Linked DNA regions of Drosophila melanogaster. The main gene of each other region encodes a partner of the protein of the gene in region 4 in a complex. Each region holds a gene or a part of one and is shown on either strand. Other genes may lie near its edges.

Region 1 (4,898 bases), on a different chromosome or scaffold from region 4:
ACATGGATTCTTTTAAAAAAGTTTGTAAATATCCGTTATTGGAATGAGTTTGCTTACTTTAAATACCACTTTAACTCCAACTACTGGGTATTTCTTATTTAACATTTGACTTTTAATCTTCTGTTTGTTTTTCTCTGGAAGAGTGAGTGAGTGTGCGTGCGGTGAGCGCACATGACCTGAAGGTGCAAACTGAAAAAGAAATGCGTGGCCGAGGGCGTTCTCCTTACCAGGGCGCCTCATACCCCCAACTACCCCCCCCCCCCCCCACAATGCTAACTAACCTGTCAAGCCGCCCACCTGGCCACCCATTCATTCGCCTTCCACCTATTCATTCTGCCGCTCAAACAAAGGCCGGGGACGAACGAATGAGCGCGCCGCAGAAAAAGTTAATTTATAAATTATTCAGTAATTTGTTTTAGACTCTGCTTTAGCTGCTACCCATCCCATACCACCGCAACAGCAACAACAATGGAAATAAATTTCTTTTGTGCCTGGCTTTGATCCGCCCCTCATTCAAAATGTGTATCTAAGCCGGGACTTTCCCGCGAACACTATCCACCGACCACTCATTCCCGGTTCAACGTCATGGTCGCGTAGTTGGCGTCCCGTTCTGAGGGGCTCCGCTCCAAGTATCGTGCGCATAAGTCCGCTCTTATATTTAATTATTAATGTTCATTCGGTCCGGCCAGCGTCTTGTGGCATTTCTCAGCTCTTGCCGGGAACGCCGTGCCATCATCATCCGGCACCACGTTGGCTTCCATTTAAGTGGCTTTCACCTTTGTACGGCTGCGGAGCACGGCGAAAAAATCGCATTTAAAACGGAGCATTATCGGCTTTAGTTCGCTCAAGGCGAGCTTTCTCTTTTATGCACTTAAAAAAAGCATCCACCTTGGATGTCCAAGGGTATATCAACTCGAAAATTGAGTGGTCCCAAATGAACCAGACTGTTTTTAACAATTTTCATATCTATCTCAATTCATATCCTTTGCTCAACTGAAAGATGAAAAAATCTACTACGAAACATTAATAAATAGATTTTATATTATTATTAATATATTCTCTGTAATTATCGAATGTGTGCAAATTAAAAATAAAAGTGGTCGCATATTTTGCAGGGTGTACCAGAATTTTATTTTGATTTCACTGCCACCGCAGCTCATTTCCGTTCTCGAATAAGCAGAGAAGCGAATACACAAGGCTATAGCCATTACGGCTGAGGCTTGGACCACTCGACGCAGAGGATCAAGTGGTCGTAGCCGTGGCCATTAAGAACCTCAATGGCGGCAGCTGCATCCTGGCGGAACTTGAAGTGCACGTAGGCGAATCCCTTGCAGAGGCCGCTGTTTTTTTCGCGCGCCAAATACATCTTGGTGTGTGGTCCGATTTTCTTTACCAGCTCCTCGAGATCAGTCTCGGTCATGGATTCGGATAGGTTTGAGATGCGAACTGCCGACGAATCGTCCCGATCCCGACCCCGTCCCCAATTTTTGCTGCCAGATATGCCTCCGCCGTCCTTCATGAAGGGTGGTACATATTTTCCGGTCTTGCTGGGATCACTTATAGCGGCAGCTGCAGCGGCATTGGCCTTGGTTTCCATCACGGTTTTGCTATCCATCGAGGTGCCCTTGTAGGGACAATTGACACTCCAGTGTTCGCCATTGCAAATGCGGCACTTGGCGATGTTCTTGCCGGGATCAAGTTGGGTTTCGTGGGTCTGGTCGAAATCTTTGGAGCCGATGAATTGCATAAAGATCTCCTCGGAGGCCATTGTCGTCTGGGAATTGGGTCCGGGCTTGTCCGATCGCGAATCCCCAAACTTAACCCAGTTGCGACGACGAGCCACAGCCTTCGGAACAATCTGCTTCTCGATCTTGAAGGTTCGCACCACTTTCACCTTCTTGCCATCATCGTTGAACTTATACTCCGTCACGTACTTGAAGTCGCCCTTAATGTACTCATTAGAAGGCGGCAGTCCATCCACATAGTCCGCATCCACCTCATCGGCCCAGGAAGTAACGAAAGTCTTCATTTTTTATGATTTCCCACACAACCGGTACAAAATGAATTAAAAACTTAGAGATCTCTAGTTTTAGAGAGAGTTTTTCCATTTGAATTTTACTTGGCCTGTTGAGATGGGAAAAAATCCCTTTCAATAAAAGATATTTGAAATTAATATTTATATTTTCTTTAAAGTAATGATTTTTTAATAAAAAATACAACAACTTGAGTAGCAATTCACTAAGATAACTTTGCAACAAAAACATACCATTCAATCAATCTTGATTAAATTATAAATTTTTTTACTTTCATGAGTTGTTCTTAATAATTACATATTGTCTTTAAATTCAATAAATTTATTAATCTTATAGTTATTCCGTAAACAAATAAGTTCTTATCTCTGACTTGAGCATGAAAGTAATCGCTCTCCTACTGATAACAGTACAATTAAAACCGAGCTGAAACTTAATCAAACTTTGAGCTGTTAGTTCACTTTCACTGCTCTAGTCCGTCGGTTGTTCTATTGGCATTAACATGTTGCTTTTGAAGCACCCGAAAACCAGCCAATCAATAGAAATCAATGAGTTTTGGCTCCGTGATCATTGTCGATGTGTGGAGTGTCTAAATTTCGAAACAAATCAGAGGCGATACGATGTCTTAGATCTACCAGCTGATATAATGCCACTAGATGTCAAATACGACGGGATGAATCTACAAGTGCAGTGTAAGAAAAAATTGATGTAAAATGCACCTAGCTTCGATTTTATTGGCCTGCCATTTTAGGGAGTGATGCTCACAAGTCGAACTATGACCTGGACTTTATCTTCGACTCACAGCTGGAGAGGTTGATAGGTCGGCGATCAAAGTCCACTAATCTGACACCATGGAATCGTAGCATTATCTTGCAAAACGAACGGCACTTACGATTCCCATTGCCCCAGCTGGTTTCCAGTGATAACGAAGTCAGATCCCTGGTTGAATCTCTGGTGCGTTATGGCATTGTCTTTATCGATGATGTGGCTCCCACCGCGAATATGACAGAATTGGCTCTGCGACGAGTTTTCCCCCTTATGAAAACGTTCTTTGGCGAAATGTGGACTTTTAGCGATAACCCCGATCACGCGGACACCGCTTATACCAAACTTTACCTGGGTTCCCATACGGATAATACCTATTTCTGCGATGCAGCCGGACTACAGGCTCTACATTGCATTGAGCACTCGGGATCGGGTGGCGAAAATTTCTTTGTTGATGGTCTGCATGTGGTTCACGAACTGAAACGCCGGTATCCCGCCGCTTATGATGTACTGTGCAGTGTCCAAGTTCCTGGAGAGTACATCGAAAAAGGGGAGCACCACTACCACACTGCCCCCATTATACAGGTGGATCCACTGACTCAGGAATTTGTTCAACTCAGACTAAATGTATATGATCGCGCCGTGTTTAATACCATCCCTCAAGCCGAAATGGCCGAGTTCTATGACAGTCTTCGCCAGCTTTTGCTAATCGTCAGGGATAAGCAACAGCAGTGGGCTCTCAAGCTATGTCCCGGCAGCATTGTTCTTTTCGATAACTGGAGAGTGCTCCATGGTCGAGAGGCATACACAGGAAGTCGTACCATGTCCGGTTCCTATGTGCAGCGCACAGATTTTCTCAGCAAGGCTCGAGTGCTGGGAATTATTGACTGAAAGCTTATTGAAAAATACCTAATGTATACCGAATTAAAACCTTTTATGAACTAAGAAATTATGATTTATTTTCTATACTTTCTAGTGCTCCGCATATTCCTTCAGCAATCATTTATGTATTATATGGTCCGTACCGACTTTTATACTTTTTGCAATGGGAAAGTTTCATGCGGATAACTTTAACACTGAGAGATTATTTTGTGGATAGAAGAACATTTAACATTGATCAATAATATATATACTTTACATGTTCGTAGCTGACTCCTTCACTTCGATGCAAGATACTGGCTTAAATCAACATCCTTTCTGCATATATATAAGTTTGCTTTTGATTGCTCAAATAAGAACATATTTTAAATTCGGTTCATATATCAGGAATAGCATACATTGTTAAAGAATCGTTGCGTATAGAAAAAAACACGCAAATTGTTCAAGCATATTTTTCTTTTTTCTGAACCGAGTCCCACTCCAATTCAATTTCGATTGCAAATGCTAACGTATCATAATAAAAAGTTACGATTACAATTGCTGGCCAGCGTCTAATTTTTGTCATAGGGGAGTGGATCGCATACAGAAAACCAGCAACAAAAATCATTTGGCATTTGTTTTTATGGCCAGCGTCTCATGTGGGTTTTCTGTATTTGTGTGCGAGAGTGTGTGTTTGGCATAAACAAACGCACTTTGAACTTTTTCATTTAAAAGTGAAATTACTTTTTGTTGGCCGTGCAGGTTAATGGCTGTCGCGCTGCTGTCCTTTAAATGTCCTCCAAATATGGATGTGCCTTAAAGAGATCCGGCAAACGGTGAACGTACAGTGTCTGAATATTTATGATAATTGCATTTCATGCAGGTTTTCCCGCTCGCTTTTCCCGTTTTTCACCCAGCTCTCATATGCGCGGCCACGACCGGGAAAAGCCTTTAAAAGCAGCTTCGATGCCCCAGCTGGGCGATAAATATATTTTTGCTCGCTTTTCCTTCGGCGGAAGTTGCAGCGCAGCAGTCGTGCCTTTGCATGGCATACTTTTCGGCATTCCACTTCCGTTTTAAAACGCTGCACTCACTTTGAGCCACCGTGGCACTTGTCGATGGTTCAATAAAACCAACAAGCACCACGGACATGAGCATGGACACAAAGGACACACACATGTGTTCTCGGAACAGGAAACAGGACATTCCGGCCGAAATAGTTCAAACACAAAGTGCCTGCTTGAC
Region 2 (5,033 bases), on a different chromosome or scaffold from region 4:
AGCAGCGGCAGACGAGCGGGTGGTGCGGCAGCAGCGAGAGCATAATACTTAGTTGCCGAAATCCGGACGGACGATCGCGGTTTACACTGTGAGTTCAATCAAGGAAGCCCCGATCTATACGGACGATTGGCATAGTTGTTTTCCTTGCGTTGTAGTCTTAGCTCAGTCTACTTGGGTTTTCATTTTGAAATCGGATCTCATTACGGTTTTACCACAGGCTTAATACTTCGTGCGTCTGCTCGGATCGCCGGTCGCTGGACGTCTGAGGGTGTGGATCCGCATCTAATCCACTCCTCAGAGCAGCGATGTCTATCAGGAAAGGCGACCGGGGCACACCGATAGCCCTTGGCTTGAGCGATAAGTCAGAGGCGGCGGAGGCGTCGGTTCGTCTGAGGGGTGGGGGCGCAGAGAGACAACGGGAGATTCGTCTGAGGAGAGGGGTGTCGTAGGGCTACTATCGACGGTCAACGTCAACGTTTGCTAATTTTCAGTTCGTTCCAGCTAATTGATTGCCCCGGTGGACATCCGCCGACTGTCCCTGAACCGCGATAAGGCGTTATTATCTCGGCATTATTTGGGTGGTCCACATCCCCGACACCCCCACCACCTTTCCACTACCATCCTCCGCCGTGCCCTCTTCGTCGAGATTTGAACAGACCGAAATAGATCTGTACTGGACCTTATCACCGTCCGTAGAGATCATCATTCCGCCGCGGGTTTCCCAGCACTGTTGTTGTATTTACCGCAAACTTTTTGGTGCTTAAACGGCCAAAGGAGTTGGCGAAATGACTCGCTTTCTCTGAAAATCACTTACCAAAGGGACTAAGATCGGGATGCTGGAAAAGAATGCCGATCAAGCGTTGCCTATAAGGTTTTCGGGCAACGCAACTGTGTAGAACGGGGGAAGCCTTAACGAAAATCATTTGTTTTCGGCACGAGCTTATAATGATCTTAATCGCTGGATGCGATGTTTCTAGACTCCAAAGTTCAGGAGCCGATACTAATTTAATAATTTCTACCGAAGGCTTGCTTTAGTGTGACCTACATCCTCCTTTTAATGAAAGTTCAATTTATTAGGTGGTGTAAATAGCAAAAGGCACCCAAAATAACAATTAAGTGATTGATTCAGTCAATTCAGTCAGTTTTTTGTCATTGTTCACTGATCCTGCATGCAAGACAGTTTCTCGCTGATCTCCAGCTGTGTTTTTATCATTGTGGAAAGAGTGATGGCCATGAGCATATCCCTCAAGTTAGTATTAAACATGACGCGAAATTTGTCCGAGTCCAAAAGCGGCACGGCAGTGAGAGCGGCGTAAAGGGATCTCCCGACTACGTTGTCAGGTTTTTTCTTCCTGGCCAAGACATCGTTGATGTAGCGCAGCACCAAGTCAAGGCGATGTTGCATATCCCTAGTGGCATCCACCACTTGAGCCAACTCTGGGACGAAGCGCTCCATTTGCTTGCTTGCCTGTTGCTGCGATTGCTTTTCTATGCAACGCAGAGCCACCAAATCGGAATTTTCGTTGCTAATCTCCAGTGGAACTAATGAGAACATCAGTCCTTTGGTGCCACCAGGCACTCCCATCTCCACAGCACAGTACAGTCGGGTCGAGAGTCGCTGGTTCTTCAGGGCTGCATCCACTAGCAGGTGCAGTGGCTGTCCTTCGCAGCATTCTCTGACATAATAGTCGTGGATCAGGGACGCGGAGCGGGACACCGATTTCCCAGTGCAGAACCAGCCCAGCACACGCTCGTTCGGATAGGCGAACATATTTAGCTCTAGGACCTCGGAGGCATATGCCATATCCAGATCAATGCGTTTGTTCTCCGAATGCTCCTTGTGCGGCACAGTAAAACAGTTTGTGATCTCGATGTGGCCCTCCTTGTTGCGACCCAGCAAAGTGCCCATAACCTTTGGTTTGATCATTACAAGATTAGTGGACAGGAGATGAATGCGCGCACACCTACCTGATTGTCACCTTTTGGTCGGCGATCGTATGCGTCAATAATTTGGAAAAACACCAACGGCTTTAGATACACCTTAGCTCGCATGCTAAAATTCCTAGACATCATGAGTTACAAAAAAAATTAAGTTGGAAAAGAAACTTAGCAAAGCAAACTTGGCTGCGCTTGTGCCTCCCCTCGATCCAGTGTTGTAAAATGTAAATATAACTTAAAAGGGCACGTGCCAAAATGTGCTCACCTATTTCGTTGCCTTGCTATTTAGAAACTTGCCTATTTAGAAACATTTTGAAATGGTAAACAGAAAAAACAAGCTTAAAATAATTTTAAATTAAGCATCATACATTATTTTACAGTTGTGTATGCTATAAGAACATAATAACAAAAATTAAAAACATTCTGCCTTTTTACCATATATGTATATAGTTTAAAATTTAGTAAATGTCTGTTAAAACGACTCTTAATTTACGTGCATGAGTTTGTTACGGATAGCCATGGGTATTTCGTGTATCAATACCTTGTGAAATGGGAATCTCACCAAGTATCAATGGCAGTGTTCCTTGCTCCTCCCATATTTCGCATACGGCATAATGACTTTAATTTCATACTCATACAAATTTCAATTGGCGCCCTATATTAAAAACTCAGTTAAGGTGGTAAACAAATCAGACTGGTAAAACGTTTACATAGCAAAACCAATGAGGCCATTTTGCATGGGAACTAATTTATATATTTTTAATATTTTAAAAAAATATATTTATATAGCCGTCAATGAATATTGTTACCCAAATTCGTGATAATTCTTCTTTTATGTCGAGTGTATATTTTATTAGAAAATGTACAAGACTTTTAATTTAAAAACTATTCCCTGCAAAGTAAATTCATCGATGAATAACCAAATATGCATATTGCTATAAGCCCAACATATTGCATTATAAAAATCGGCCATCTACGGCGTAGATCTTACACGCAGGTCTTGTTTGAAGCAAGAAGAATCGATTGTAAAACTCCCGCTTCTTAAAACGGTTTTAGCTCGATAACGGAATATTTTATTCAATCCTCGGCAATTTCCATCTTATACCTGTCGGTCGTAAAGCATAAGGGTAAACTAGATAGATTGCTAGAAAAGGATGTGTCAGGTAGGAGGAAGCGTATCCCGTCTTGTAAAGTAAATCCTCCTACCGTGCATCTGTCTGCCTATCTAAATGAATGTAGAGATCTCGGGAACTTATCTAGGGAGTGCATTAAGCATGCAGATTCTAACAACACCACTAAAATTATGTTACTCTAAAACGTAAATTTAAGTTTATTCTTAAAAATCGTTGATTTAAATTTTTATACGGATTTCATAAGCTTTAATTAATCATATGTGGTTAATGTAAATGCAAAATGGGCTGGATAAGAATGTTAATTTATTTATTAAGTACTAAAAATGTAAATTCCTTAAATGGCAACCATGTTAAACATAAGCAGAGATTTAATGAATGCAGACCGTGAGCACAAATCACAAATTAAGTGTGAACTTGAACCTCCATCAAGATGCCTCCAAATTATTTCCGAAAGCGACAAGTGTAACGCTAAGAAAAAGTACACCTAGTAAGGCGATAGTTTTATATTCTTTTTGGAAAATATAAAAATTAGTACCATTAACAGCTTTGGAGTCCGAGTTAAGCCTTATTATTAAAGAGTTTGAATGAACATTTAATCTAACGAATTAACATTGTTACATACTCTTGTGTCAAACAATTGTTGCAAAATGTGATATAATAATAAAGTAATGGGACGTAAGATTGATATCTAAAAACTTAAAATAATTTATATAATTTTTTGTAATTTTTTTAAATTTCCCATCGATCTCTTCGATTATAAATCTACTATAAAAGAAACACACAATACTAAAAGTACATTTTATTATTTTCTTTTACTGCGATTCTTAAAAATTATATATTACTTTAGTTGCCATGTAAATATTAAGAAATTCAAAAATTGTTGGTTTTAAAACAGGAATATTAACTTTTTGCAGCGTCTGAATCTTTTCCTCGAATCATTATACATGGAAATAATATTGTCACGTCCAACATGTCACGTTCGACATATCATTGCGTGTGGATTAAATAACTCGATTGAAGTAACCAGTTCTGAAAAGTTAATTATTTTTCTAAAATTAATTATTTGAAAACATAAATGGATTATGGGAAGGTACGTGCTGTTAAACCAATGAACTTTGTCCGGCCGTAGTGAAGATAAAGTTATATATAAGTATCTATCAATATCTATTTAACAATATTAAAAAAAAAGGTAGACTGCTACAGTCGACTTCCCCGACTATCAGATACCCGCTACACAGATGGTAGAAATGCGAACGCAAAATTTCATTATTATACTCGTTATTCGTAGAGTAAAAGGGTATACTAAATTCTTTGAAAAGTATGTAACAGGCAGAAGGAAGCGTTTCCGACCATATGAAGTATATATATTCTTGATCGAGATCAATAGCCGAGTCGATCTGGCCATGTCCGTCTGTCCGTATAAATGTGCAGATCTCAGGAACTATAAAAGCTAGGAGGTTAAAATTCACCATACAGATTCTAGAGACAGAGTCGCAGCGCAAGATTGGGTTTGGCAACTTGAATTAACAAACTAGCGTTCGACAAGAGCCGAAGATCACGAAGATATATAGTTTATATGCCTGTTACAAACTTTTCAACGAATCTAGTACACTTTACTCTACGAGTAACGGGTATAATCAGTCAGTTATTAGAAACCTGTCAAATCAGTGAACAAATCTTTTTCTCTAGTATCGCCGGCATGGAAGGCCGCAAAGAATTTCTGAATATTTTGTTGGTCATACAAATCATCTACATTGTGCCGGTTGGGATTATATGTTTGGTGATCGTGGCGTTTCAGGTGACGGGCTATCGTCTCAATGACTTTGTACTTTTCTCCTATATGAACTACATAGAGCAACAAGCCCGTTCGTACACTCCGGAATCTTGGGATAAAGGACTCAACATAATAGTGTGGATCCACGTCGTCATCCTATACGTGGTATTTCGAAAGAGGGAGTGTTT
Region 3 (5,534 bases), on a different chromosome or scaffold from region 4:
GCACCACTCCGGAGAATGTGCGCAAGTTTGCCCAGCGCTCCTCGCTTTATTTGTGCCAGGCCGCCTACAGTTTCCAGGTGATTAGATCTAAAAGCAATTAGTTTACTCAATCTTACCAAAGGTTATATTTTAGGGTCGGTACACGGATCGCATAGCCGAGTGCATAACGGAGCATCTGCAGACGTTTGTGCCGAAGAAGTACTTCATCCACATCAGCAACGAGGAGCTTCGCAAGCTATTCAACGAGGTGGTGGCTGTGTTCGACTACGAACGCTCTGATGTGAACACCGAGGAGCTGATATCCGGAATTTTCGATCACGCCAAGGACTCGCTGTGCGCTCATGTCCATATGGGCGACTCCGAGGTTGTGAACCGCACCCACTTCATCGTCGCTCACATGTTCAAAGAGCTGATTGAGGTGCTGCCGCTGGAGGAGTTCCAGGCGGACGAGACCCTGCGCATGATTGTGGACGTGCTGGAGCGTGAACCGATGGTGGATCCTCGAGCCATAGCCGTGGAGCAGCTGATCGATAGCACGCTCCAGCACGCCCGGGAGAATCTGATCGATGGGATTACAGCGGTGCCCATTCGCAGCCTGGGAAGCTCCATTCAAAGAGACCTGATAAAAAGGCGGCAATATAAGCAGCCCAGTTGCGAGTCGCCCATGTCGGTGAGGATCGCCACGAAAAAGCCAGGAACCAGCAGTGGGCTTCCTTTCTAGACATCCATATCAAATACTTTGGTAGAAATTCAAAAATTAATTATTTTTGGAACTTGACAACATCGATTTACAAAAAGTAACTCAATACATATTTTTTTGTAGACTTCACTTTGAATTTCGAAAAAGGTGACCCAAACATGTATATTTTACCATAGAACATCTTTAAATCTGATTTTGAATTATTTGTAAAAGCGTGTGTTTCAATAACTGGCGTCCTAATAGCACAACTCAAAAATTTACTAATAAATTGTGAGGGACATATTATTCCCATTTTTTATTTATTTTAAAACGCCAAAGAAATAAAATAGCAATTCGCGTGCAGAAAATAAATTTCGAATAAATCCAGATCTGACGGGAAAACTTTACGACATCACTAATCTCGATGAGCTGACAACCCTGTTTGTGACTCAGAGAAACTGCAAGTAAACAAAGTGCAACTTCAAATTACAGACGAGATAAGATGTCGAAGCCATCAAAAGCAGGTCCACCAAGCGAGGGAAGTGCTCCCGCTTACGACTATCGCCATTCCGGCGATGACATGGCCATGGTAATAAGTTAATTTGATTATCAAATACCAGTCGCCATCTAAAGTTTTGCGACTTCTAGCGAGCTCCTCCGCCAACGTATGAAGAAAGCCAGCGAAACGGCGGCACCGGTGCTGGTGCCTATGGCTATCCACAAGGAGGAGGTGCTCCGCCCAGCCAGAATCAGTATTACGGCATGATCAGCCACCAGCAACAGCAGATGCCCTTCAGCGGGCAGCCCAACTACGGTATGACACATGGCAGTGGCTTCGGACTTGCTGGTCCCAGTACGTCGGCAGGAGCAGCTGCAGCACAGGTCCTCCACTTGGACTCACGGGCCGAGGTGAGGACAAATTCCAACGGAAATGTCGTCATTCCGCCTCCTCCGCCGGGCTGCCTGCCCACACCGGCTCAGTGGGCGGCCATGCAGGGTCAGCCTGTGGTTCTCAAGCAAAAAAAGCGTTCCTTTTTTTAGGTTACACATGGCACACCATTTACTCGAATATAATCATGTTGTACCTCTTTCCACTCCTTTGATGTTATAAAAATAAACGACGCGATCCGTTTCGTTTCGTCCTCGCGTATATTTGAAAGTTCCCTAAGCAAACGAACATGTCGCCGGTGAAATGGTTATGTTAAGTCCACCGGCTCTGATCCTACTAAATCACTACTGGATACAAACTACTCGAAGATGTTCTCAAAGTATGTACTATCGAATGTCTGGACACGCACGAAACCATCTTCTCCGCCCGAGGCGTAACTCTTGCCGTCCGGATGGAAGGCCAAACTGTTGATGGGTCCGAAATGGCCCTTGAGTCGGGCGAACTCCTCCTCGTATATCAGGTGGAAGAAGCGCGAGTCAAACTTGCCAGCCTTCGTAGACGTAGTGGTCACCTCCATGGCATCTTGACCGCCGCCCAGCACGACATGATCCATGATTGGGCTGATGGCCGCCGAGTTTACTGGACGCTCCGTTTTGTAGGTCTTGAGGCACATCAGGGACTCCGAATCGAACAATTTGGCGGTGGTGTCCTTGGAGGCGGTCACAAACATGGTGCCATCCTTGCTCAACTGCATGTCGTTGATGCCAGCGCTGTGATCCGTGCCAGAGTCAACCACCTTTTGACCCTTACGGATGTCCCAGATGGCAATGTTGCCATTATCGTGACCTGGAAATACGGGTTTTAAACGGTTTTCATAATAGATTATCGGGTAAACACCAACCTGTGATGATGGTCTCATCCAGAGGACCCCACAACATCGACGTAATTTTGGACTCGGTCATCGGGATGCGGAGTGTGGGCTCCTGCTCCGACAACGAGGAATCGGCGTTGCGGACATCGATGAGGAACAGTTCACAGCTCTGTCCCATCGCTTTGTCCGTTGAGTAGGCTGCCTGGTTGCCCGAGAAGCTGAAGTTGCTGGTGCGCACCGATGACTTGGTCGGAATGGAGGCGATAACGGTGCCGTACTCGACGTCCCAGATCTTAGCGGTCATATCACCGGCGCCGGTGATGAGCTTACGGCTCTCCCAGTCCACATCCAGGCACCAGACCGCACCCTGGTGACCATCGTAGGTGCCCAAACGTTCTCCGTTCAGCGAGTACCACACATTGGGCTTCTGATCCTTGGAGCAGGAGAAGAGCAGGTCGCCCTCGCGGTTGTACTTGATTTGCGTTATGGAACGCTCGTGGCCCTGAAGCATCAACGGACGCTATAAAAGACAGAATAATACGAATTTTTAGCAACAATTTAGGCCGCTTTTAAGGTTATGTTTGGTCCGGAATTTCACACGACTTTCACACTTTGCAAATAGTTGTAATTTCGGGTAAATTCTAAAGAAACCCATCCGGAATAATGCAAACTGTGTAGTCATTGACCAGGCACGCACCATTTTGTATTATATTGTTATTTGTTGCGAGAAAACGAATATTTTTGCAACAACATCCACGCAGCACTACACGCCAAAAGAGCAGTGTGACCGTGGCCTAGTCAAAATCTCACTTCGATATACCAGGGGGATCTAAAAAATACCGTTAATCAAGTTTATTTTGAACAACCAGAAATTTTTACAATCTAGAACTTAAGGTATAGCCAATATAAACGAAAATTTGGATTTAAAACTTGATATACATCAAGTAAAAACCATATTTTATGCCATACATTAAGTAAATACAACGAAACAACATTTGCCTAGCTTAGCCAGCCTAGCTGAACCATCCCTTTTTGTTCATTGAATTCCACTTGGCTATGTTCACCAAAATGGATGCCACACACTGGTCCTTGTCCCGATTTTGGCCGTAGTAATCGACAAACTCGCCATCGGGATTGACCAGGTACATGATGATGGTGTGATCCACAATATAATCGTTGTCCTCGTCCCGCGGTCCAGCGCTGAAATAAACCCTGAAGGCCTTGCACACTTTGCGGATTTGTTCGACGGTTCCCGTGAGTCCCAGCAGTTTGGGGGAGAACTCTTTTACGTATTTGGCCACCACCTCTTTGGAGTCACGTTCTGGGTCAACGGTGATAAAGATGGGCTGCACTGCTGGCGTTTGCGGGGACTTTTCTGTGAAGGTTTGAGAAACATGGTTTTTTTTGGGTTTGGAAGAAATAGTCAGGCTCTACTTACCAACTTCATCGACGACGGCGGCCATCTTCTCTAGCTCATCGGGACAAATATCCGGGCAGTGGGTGAAGCCAAAATAGATGAGCAGCCACTTGCCTAAGAAGTCCTCCGATTTGCGAACAGCTCCCTGCGAATCAACTAATTCCCAACTGCCGCCGATGGCTGCTTTTCCCAATTGCCGCTGACGCTCCTTCATTCTCGCCTCATCCTTCTCGCTCTTCACGTACAGCATGAAGCCCACTCCTCCGGCTCCAAGGGCTCCAATGACGGCCAGACTTCTCCAAGAGATCGGACCCTTGCCTTTAGTGGAATCTGCGGGAGCGGCATAATGACGAATTGCGGGCTGTTGTGCCCAGCGACGACAGCTGCCCACTAAGCGTTGCAGGGAGCGGGACATCTTACGCCCGGTTTCAGAAATTTGAAGGCTTTACGTAAATCTTCTGGAGAAATAAAAATATCGCCGGTGTCCTGCTGCTTCTTCCTATTCAGCCAGTCACGGCGAAACAGCATTTATTTAGTACATAAAGTATATTTATTTAGTATATTAGTTAGTTTGTTAGTTAGTTTGGTATATTTTGGTATTAGAAGGCGGTCTTATTGATTCCAACACGTGCGGTTCAATTTTGTTAAATTATTTAATAAAAACACCGGGGCAAATGGCAAGCAAAAATCGCAAGGAGCCGCTTCTGTACATGGAGGAGTATCGGGTGAAGCAGGATCCGCAGGACTATGGACTGGCGGACGATGTATTTTCCGTTCAGGCTTTCAAGGAAAAGCTGCACATCAAAATCGTCAGGTAAATCTCAATAGAAATTAGAATCTTACGAGTCGATTAACAATTGGTGTTCACTTCTAGAAACGACGAAGACGGCCTGGAGTTCGATCTGATTGGCGTGTATCCCGCCATTGCAAATGCCTTCCGTCGCCTGATGCTCAGCGATGTGCCCAGCATGGCCATCGAAAAGGTGTACATATACAACAACACCTCGATCATCCAGGACGAGGTACTTGCCCATCGAATGGGTCTACTTCCGTTGCGGGCTGATCCCCGTCTATTCGCATACCGCACCGAGGAAAGCACTGAGGCGGGGACCGAGCAGGATACGCTTGAATTTGAGCTGAAGGTGAAGTGCTCGCGGCGACGGGATGCTGGAAAAGATCAGTCCAACTTCGATGACATTTACAAAAACCACAAAGTGTACTCGGGTCATCTGAAGTGGCTGCCCAAAGGAAAGCAGGCGCAGATATACAGCGAGAGTGCTGTGAACTGCATTCACGATGACATACTGATTGCCCAATTGCGTCCGGGTCACGAGTTGGATCTGCGCCTGGTGGCGGTTAAGGGACTTGGACGGGATCACGCGAAATTCTCGCCGGTGGCCACGGCCACCTACCGACTGCTGCCCATGATTAAGCTGAACCGCGAGGTGACCGGTAAGGATGCGTACCTATTACAGAACTGTTTCTCACCAGGAGTAATTGGCATTGACGAGAATGAAACTGCCTATGTAAAGGATGCACGCTACGACACGTGCAGCCGAAATGTGTATCGCTATCCCCAGCTAAACGACGCTGTGACTTTGGCCCGTATCCGAGATCACTACATTTTCTCCGTGGAATCAGTCGGCGCACTGAAGCCCGATGTCATCTTCCTGGAGGC
Region 4 (5,814 bases):
ACCAACTCATACTCCTAAAATTATGGATTTCCATTTCGTAAGTCTCCCGCCACTCAGTTTGAATTTCGAATGATTAGTGTGACCATGCGGCGGTTTATAGCAACTGCATGCGTAGTGCGACAGAGAGTTGCTATAAAAATATATTGGAACGTCAACAAACATATGCCACGAAAGAAAATATTCCGATTCAACGGAAAATGAATTAATTAAAGACCGAACTGGCAGATATTCAGAAAGCCATTCGATCGTACATTTAACCAAATTAAAGGCATCGAGGGAATTGTATCGGGAAAATACGTAAAAAGCTCTACATTTGAGTGACGTGGTGTTATTTGTTGGTGATTAGAAAAACAGGTGAGCCTGTGGCCCCCAAACTAGCATGTCTTTATAATATATACCTATCGCTATTTGATCAGCATGTCCGCCATAAGGAGAAAGCCAACGGGCAGCAATGCCGACCAGGAGTTGCTCATCGACGAGCCACCAAAGTCGGAAAAGGTGGCGGAGCACCAGAAACCAGATATTCGTGGAGACCGGAGGAATATAGCCATACTGCTGTTCCTGTACGTTCTACAGGGCATTCCCATCGGGCTCATAGCAGCCATACCAATGTTGCTGCAAAATAGAGGAGCTAGCTACAAACAACAGGCGGAGTTTTCATTCGCCTACTGGCCATTCAGCTTAAAGCTGCTGTGGGCTCCAATTGTGGATTCCCTGTACATCCGGCGATTTGGACGCCGGAAATCGTGGCTAGTCCCAGTGCAATACCTTCTGGGAGCCTTTATGTTACTCCTCTCCCTCCACGTGGATCGCTGGCTGGGCGGGAACGGTGTCGATCCCAATGTGCCGCTCCTGACGCTGCTCTTCTTCCTGCTTAACTTCCTGGCTGCCACTCAGGACATCGCCGTGGATGGCTGGGCCTTGACCATGCTGAAGCGATGCAATGTTGGATACGCATCCACCTGCAATAGCGTGGGCCAAACAGCTGGCTACTTCTTGGGCTATGTGGTGTTCATTGCCCTGGAGTCCAAGGATTTCTGCAACACCTACATAAGAGACGTGCCACTCGAGGATGGCATGATCACATTGCCCCGTTTCCTTTGGTTCTGGGGCATTACATTTGTGGTAGCCACTACTTTGGTGGCAATTTTCAAGAAGGAGAACGACATCGAAGACGCGCATATGGACGCTCGCTACACGGAGGAGCACGAGTTGAACATCCATGAGAGCTACAAGATATTGTGGGACATGGTGTGCATGCGTCCCGTCCAAATTCTGGCTGTAATTCTGCTCACCGTGAAGGTCACGTTCGCAGCCTCTGATGCAGTGACCAGCTTAAAACTCATTGACGCTGGTGTACCGAAGGATAAGCTGGCTTTACTCGCCATTCCCCTAATTCCTCTGCAGCTCATTCTGCCGCTGGCGGTCGGTCGATATACGAACGGACCACGTCCGATGGACGTCTATCTGAAGGCCATTCCCTATCGCATCATCATGGCAACAGTGGCCACTGGCTTGGCCTACATCACACCCTATATTGTCCGTGGAGGAGCCGTGCCTGCTTATTACTACGTCCTGCTGATCACCAGTTATGCCATCTACCAAGTATTCCTGTACTCCATGTTTGTGGCCGCCATGGCCTTTTTCGCCAAGATCTCCGATCCAGCCGTCGGTGGCACTTACATGACATTTTTGAACACATTGTGCAATCTGGGCGGTAATTGGCCCAACACAGTGGTGTTGTGGTTGGTGGACGTGCTCACCTGGAAGCAGTGCTCCAATAATGCGGAAAATACCTGCCAGGGCAAGGAGGAGCAACAGGTGAGTGCTCAGAGAGAGATTCTACAGCATACAAGATTATTATTATTATTGTATATGGATACATATGTATGGTGAAAGTTTTACCCCAAACCAGGAAAAGATAAACTTTGCCAGTTATGAGATAAAAGTAACTAAACAAATATTTTTCTTAATTTTCTCCCGCAGAGCTGTGAAGCGTCGGCTGGCAAGTGCGAGATAACCTTCGATGGGTACTACTTGGAGTCGGGCATTTGCGTTCTGTACGGCATAGTGTGGCTGCTGCTGGTGCGCAAATGGATCGTTTACTTGCAGGACCTGCCCGTCAGATCCTGGTTGGTGGTCAAGCAGAAATCGCGGTAGCAATCAATAGTGTGATCCGGGGCCAGATCGTCATAAAGATCCAGCACCCACTTGTAGGTACAAACAACTAATTCTAGGATTAGCAGACGTTTGCATTCTGTAGGCTAGCGAAATTACAAATTCCCGCCTTGGTATTGTTTTTTGTATAACTAATTTTGATTCCGAAGGAAATAAAATCAAATGTTGAATTGAGCGAATGAGTAAGATGTTAATTTATTCGCTCGACTGCGCGCAATCATCGGTTTTTAAAGGGTACAAAGAGTCTTAACTTAATTGTGGATAAAAAGTCAGCAACTAGTAGTACTTCCAGGAGTCGGCCGACTCCTGATTCTGCTTCTGCTTGCTCTTGCGCTCAATCAAACCTGCCAAATGCTCCGACCGCATGGACAGCGAGTCGATCTTCTCCACCAGCTGCTGATAGGGACTCAAGGGCTGGGTGCCCATCACCACATGACCCAGTTTCGAATCGATCTTGGCATTCAGACGGGCATTGCGGATAAGGTTGACGATCCAGCACTCAGCCTCGTTGGGCTTCATGTTCAGCTTATCGGCCAGCATGCTGATGGTGATGCACTGGTGGATGCGGCAGAATGTCTCGAAGATCATCAAGCGGGCATCCTCCACGAACTCATTCAGGCAGGCCACGATGAAGAAGTCGTTGAGGATCACCGTCTGGCACTCGTGCAGCTTCAGACGCGCTCCCTCGAAATCAAAGTTCACGTACAGACACTCCAGAAACTCGGTGATGGGATCGCGGTACGTGTACGACTCCTGTTGGATCACCTTGATCAAATCCTTTAGAGCATTGCGGCGGGTGCGGTTGATGACTACGGCGGTGGCCAAGTAACGCATGATGTGCGGACACATTGTCTGAATGGCGTTCAAATACAGGGGCTTGTACAGGAACATCTCAATAATGAGATCGCGTCCCTTGGGGTGATTGAAGAAGACCAGGACCGACCAGTGGATCAGCCAGGTGCGTTGCTGCAGGGCCTGGATGGTGCTGAAGTTGGCGTTGTCAATGTAGTCGCGCAAACGCGTCAGATCCTCCAGAGCAGTGTTCCAGTTGAGGGTCAGAATCTCGGCGGCCAGCTTGCCCCACAGCACATTAAGGTAGTTCTGCAAAATTTGGGAGACAATATCAATTAATATTCTTGTTTTAGTGGTTTTTGCCGCTTTTCATGTTAATTTAGCTCCATACGCACCTTGTCGTTGGGCGACATGACGATGAGGCAGAAGTACAGGTAAGAGGTGGACTCCTGATAGTTGCCGCACTCGTAGAGGTACTTGGCCAGCTTGTAGGCGCTCTCCAGGTGCTCCACCTTAAAATTGTAGTCCTTCTGAAGGGCGTTGACGAAGGTCTTCGAGTCCTTCATGCTCTCACCGTTCTTAAGAATGTCGGTGGCCTTCATGATGGGTGCCACCTCGTTCTGCAGCTGCTTAAGCGTGGCCAGGACCTCCGCCTTGCGCTGCACGAGCTCCTCGGGCATCTCCTGGCTGAGATTGAGACGCTTGCGGGTGTCCATCGTGTAATCGATCATGTTCGTCTTGTTCACCGTCTCCAAAATGTACTCCAGCAGCTCCTGCTGGTTGTAGATCTGCAACGAAAGTCACACATATGAAGATTTCCCATAGTTATGTACTGGTGACTCGGCAACCGCCAGCGGAGCACCGCCTGGTCGCTTTTCTAACCTCCTTGCCGCACAAGAACTCCAGCAGCGGGAAGGTCAAATGCCTGTCCAAAAACTGGCAATTGATGCGTGTCAGATCGAAATTGGCCATGATTGCAGCTGTTTTACTATGTTTTCACAATTAAATTTACACGCAAAATCGGCAGAAAAATACGCGTGCGAGGGCCGACAGTGTGCCCAGAGACGAAAAGAGTGACGCCCGCTCAGAGTTACCAGAGTGTGGTATTTCCACGACATTAAATACCATGACCCTGAAGCCGTATTTTTTTCAAGCTTTCAAAGTGGCGCATTTATTTAAAATAAAATTAAGTCATTGAAACAACTTTCAAAAAATACTCAATTTTCAAAATTTCTATTATCTTAGCATGGCTATTATAGCAATAAAAAATTATTATTTCAATTGTGGCGCCCAGACTGAAACCCGGTCTGGCATCACGGCGAAAAGAGGTACTAACGCCAAGACCTTTCCTGGAGGACGATATCTTCTGTCTTCTTATCGTCAGACTGGACACACTGGAACTTCAGCTCCGCTCGTAACAAGCTTACGGCATAAAACAACAAGATATTGTACTTAGTAATTAAATAAAGCGGTAACTACATAAGTTACCATACAATGAATTTAAAGAAATATTATTAAATATTTTCTACATTACAATGGTTTCTCATTCCTTTAAAGTTATACGCTTTACGTAAAATACCAATAATTTTAAATTACAAGGTATACATATAACAAAGGTTTTTAATTTCAAAAAGACGTTGCCTCTCTTTTCAAGCTATTAATAAATATATTTCCCATGCCAAATTCAAAACACAAATATCAACTCATCGGAGAAATGCTTTTTAATAATTTGAATATTTATTTCATCAAATACTTGCACATAAATATATTTATATAGAGATGTCTGTATAAGGGTATACATTTGGGTTAAATATGTTTTGTATAAATTGTGTAATTCTTTGTATTCGCACATTCAACTGCCAAAGAGCAGATTTGTTTTAACAATAGCCACTTAGGTACATTTGCGGTCAACGGTCGAATGCAGTTCAAAACACAAAAACAACATCTAAAAAATGCGTTTCGATATTGGCCGAGTTTAATACATTTCTCTTTCTGTATATACGATTTATGGATTGTATATAGGATGGTGGAGATCAGCATATCAATTTTCACTTCATATATTTCGTTTGCATAGATTAGGCAACTCAAGCTAAAACAACATTGAAAAAATGCATTTTCTAAATATTTAATGTTCAATTAATTTTCATTTTAACGATAACGGTAAGTTTCTAGTTATTGTCCTTAGATTTTTTGTTGGATATTCGATTTCCGTTAAGATATACATATTGATTGGCTTCAATCAGAATTTCAGTTTGCACTCTTAATTGACTCCTGCCGCATCATCATCATCATCATCATCATCATATGGAGGGCATCTCGACGAACCACTAACAATTCCCAGCCAGCTTTGCGATCAAAATAAAACTAAATGAAACGTGTTTCGTTTTGGTTTGGTGTGTAAAAAACTCAAGTCTTTTTAGTGTAAACTAAACTAAAATCGCGAAAATAAAAATCACAAATCGTTAAAGAATTTCGCACTATAGGCTAAGGACGATGCACGCACACAAAACTTGATATTAGCTGCTCTGGCTGCCTCTGTGGATCCTCTTTAGGATGTCGCGATGACGCCACCAGGTCCTGGAAGCCCACTGGGACGGCCGGTCAGATAGGAATCGACCTGTCGTGCGGCCTGGCGACCCTCGGTAATGGCCCAGACGACCAGCGACTGGCCACGCCGGCAATCTGCAAAGGACAGAAGATAAATTAACATTTTTGTTATGCAAAGATACAGAAATCATTCAATGATTGATGTGATTAACTCTTAATACTAAGCCTATTACTTAGTAGACATAAAACTGACCTCCTGCCGCAAAGACCTTGGAGTTCGAGGTGCCATACTGTCCG

Evidence for each region.
Region 1: eIF3e (region 4) and eIF3g2 share a complex: the UniProt entries of both Drosophila melanogaster proteins name them as parts of the eukaryotic translation initiation factor 3 (eIF-3) complex.
Region 2: eIF3e (region 4) and eIF3f2 share a complex: the UniProt entries of both Drosophila melanogaster proteins name them as parts of the eukaryotic translation initiation factor 3 (eIF-3) complex.
Region 3: eIF3e (region 4) and eIF3i share a complex: the UniProt entries of both Drosophila melanogaster proteins name them as parts of the eukaryotic translation initiation factor 3 (eIF-3) complex.

What each region holds. Positions count from the first base shown.
Region 1 is NT_033777.3:20,405,458-20,410,355, reverse strand, and holds eIF3g2 (eukaryotic translation initiation factor 3 subunit g2), read right to left. Parts: upstream 2,092-4,898; 5' UTR 2,030-2,091; coding exon 1,208-2,029; 3' UTR 1,113-1,207; downstream 1-1,112. Other genes in the region: Tmlh (trimethyllysine hydroxylase), read left to right, coding at 2,533-2,722, 2,782-3,686. UniProt on the Drosophila melanogaster protein: RNA-binding component of the eukaryotic translation initiation factor 3 (eIF-3) complex, which is involved in protein synthesis of a specialized repertoire of mRNAs and, together with other initiation factors, stimulates binding of mRNA and methionyl-tRNAi to the 40S ribosome.
Region 2 is NT_033778.4:6,197,957-6,202,989, reverse strand, and holds eIF3f2 (eukaryotic translation initiation factor 3 subunit f2), read right to left. Parts: upstream 2,138-5,033; 5' UTR 2,074-2,137; coding exon 1,969-2,073; intron 1,913-1,968; coding exon 1,157-1,912; 3' UTR 1,034-1,156; downstream 1-1,033. Other genes in the region: CG30431 (uncharacterized protein), read right to left, coding at 1-43; CG30432 (uncharacterized protein), read left to right, coding at 4,771-5,033. UniProt on the Drosophila melanogaster protein: Component of the eukaryotic translation initiation factor 3 (eIF-3) complex, which is involved in protein synthesis of a specialized repertoire of mRNAs and, together with other initiation factors, stimulates binding of mRNA and methionyl-tRNAi to the 40S ribosome.
Region 3 is NT_033779.5:4,964,555-4,970,088, forward strand, and holds eIF3i (eukaryotic translation initiation factor 3 subunit i), read right to left. Parts: upstream 3,222-5,534; 5' UTR 3,140-3,221; coding exon 3,137-3,139; intron 2,960-3,136; coding exon 2,470-2,959; intron 2,415-2,469; coding exon 1,927-2,414; 3' UTR 1,813-1,926; downstream 1-1,812. Other genes in the region: CG34124 (uncharacterized protein), read left to right, coding at 1-77, 134-721; CG34125 (uncharacterized protein), read left to right, coding at 1,182-1,268, 1,328-1,720; Scox (synthesis of cytochrome c oxidase), read right to left, coding at 3,453-3,814, 3,878-4,271; Polr1C (RNA polymerase I and III subunit C), read left to right, coding at 4,531-4,670, 4,731-5,534. UniProt on the Drosophila melanogaster protein: Component of the eukaryotic translation initiation factor 3 (eIF-3) complex, which is involved in protein synthesis of a specialized repertoire of mRNAs and, together with other initiation factors, stimulates binding of mRNA and methionyl-tRNAi to the 40S ribosome.
Region 4 is NT_037436.4:16,782,892-16,788,705, forward strand, and holds eIF3e (eukaryotic translation initiation factor 3 subunit e), read right to left. Parts: upstream 4,051-5,814; 5' UTR 3,943-4,050; coding exon 3,853-3,942; intron 3,759-3,852; coding exon 3,366-3,758; intron 3,280-3,365; coding exon 2,455-3,279; 3' UTR 2,351-2,454; downstream 1-2,350. Other genes in the region: CG9706 (uncharacterized protein), read left to right, coding at 418-1,821, 1,987-2,160; CG9674 (uncharacterized protein), read right to left, coding at 5,519-5,652, 5,771-5,814. UniProt on the Drosophila melanogaster protein: Component of the eukaryotic translation initiation factor 3 (eIF-3) complex, which is involved in protein synthesis of a specialized repertoire of mRNAs and, together with other initiation factors, stimulates binding of mRNA and methionyl-tRNAi to the 40S ribosome.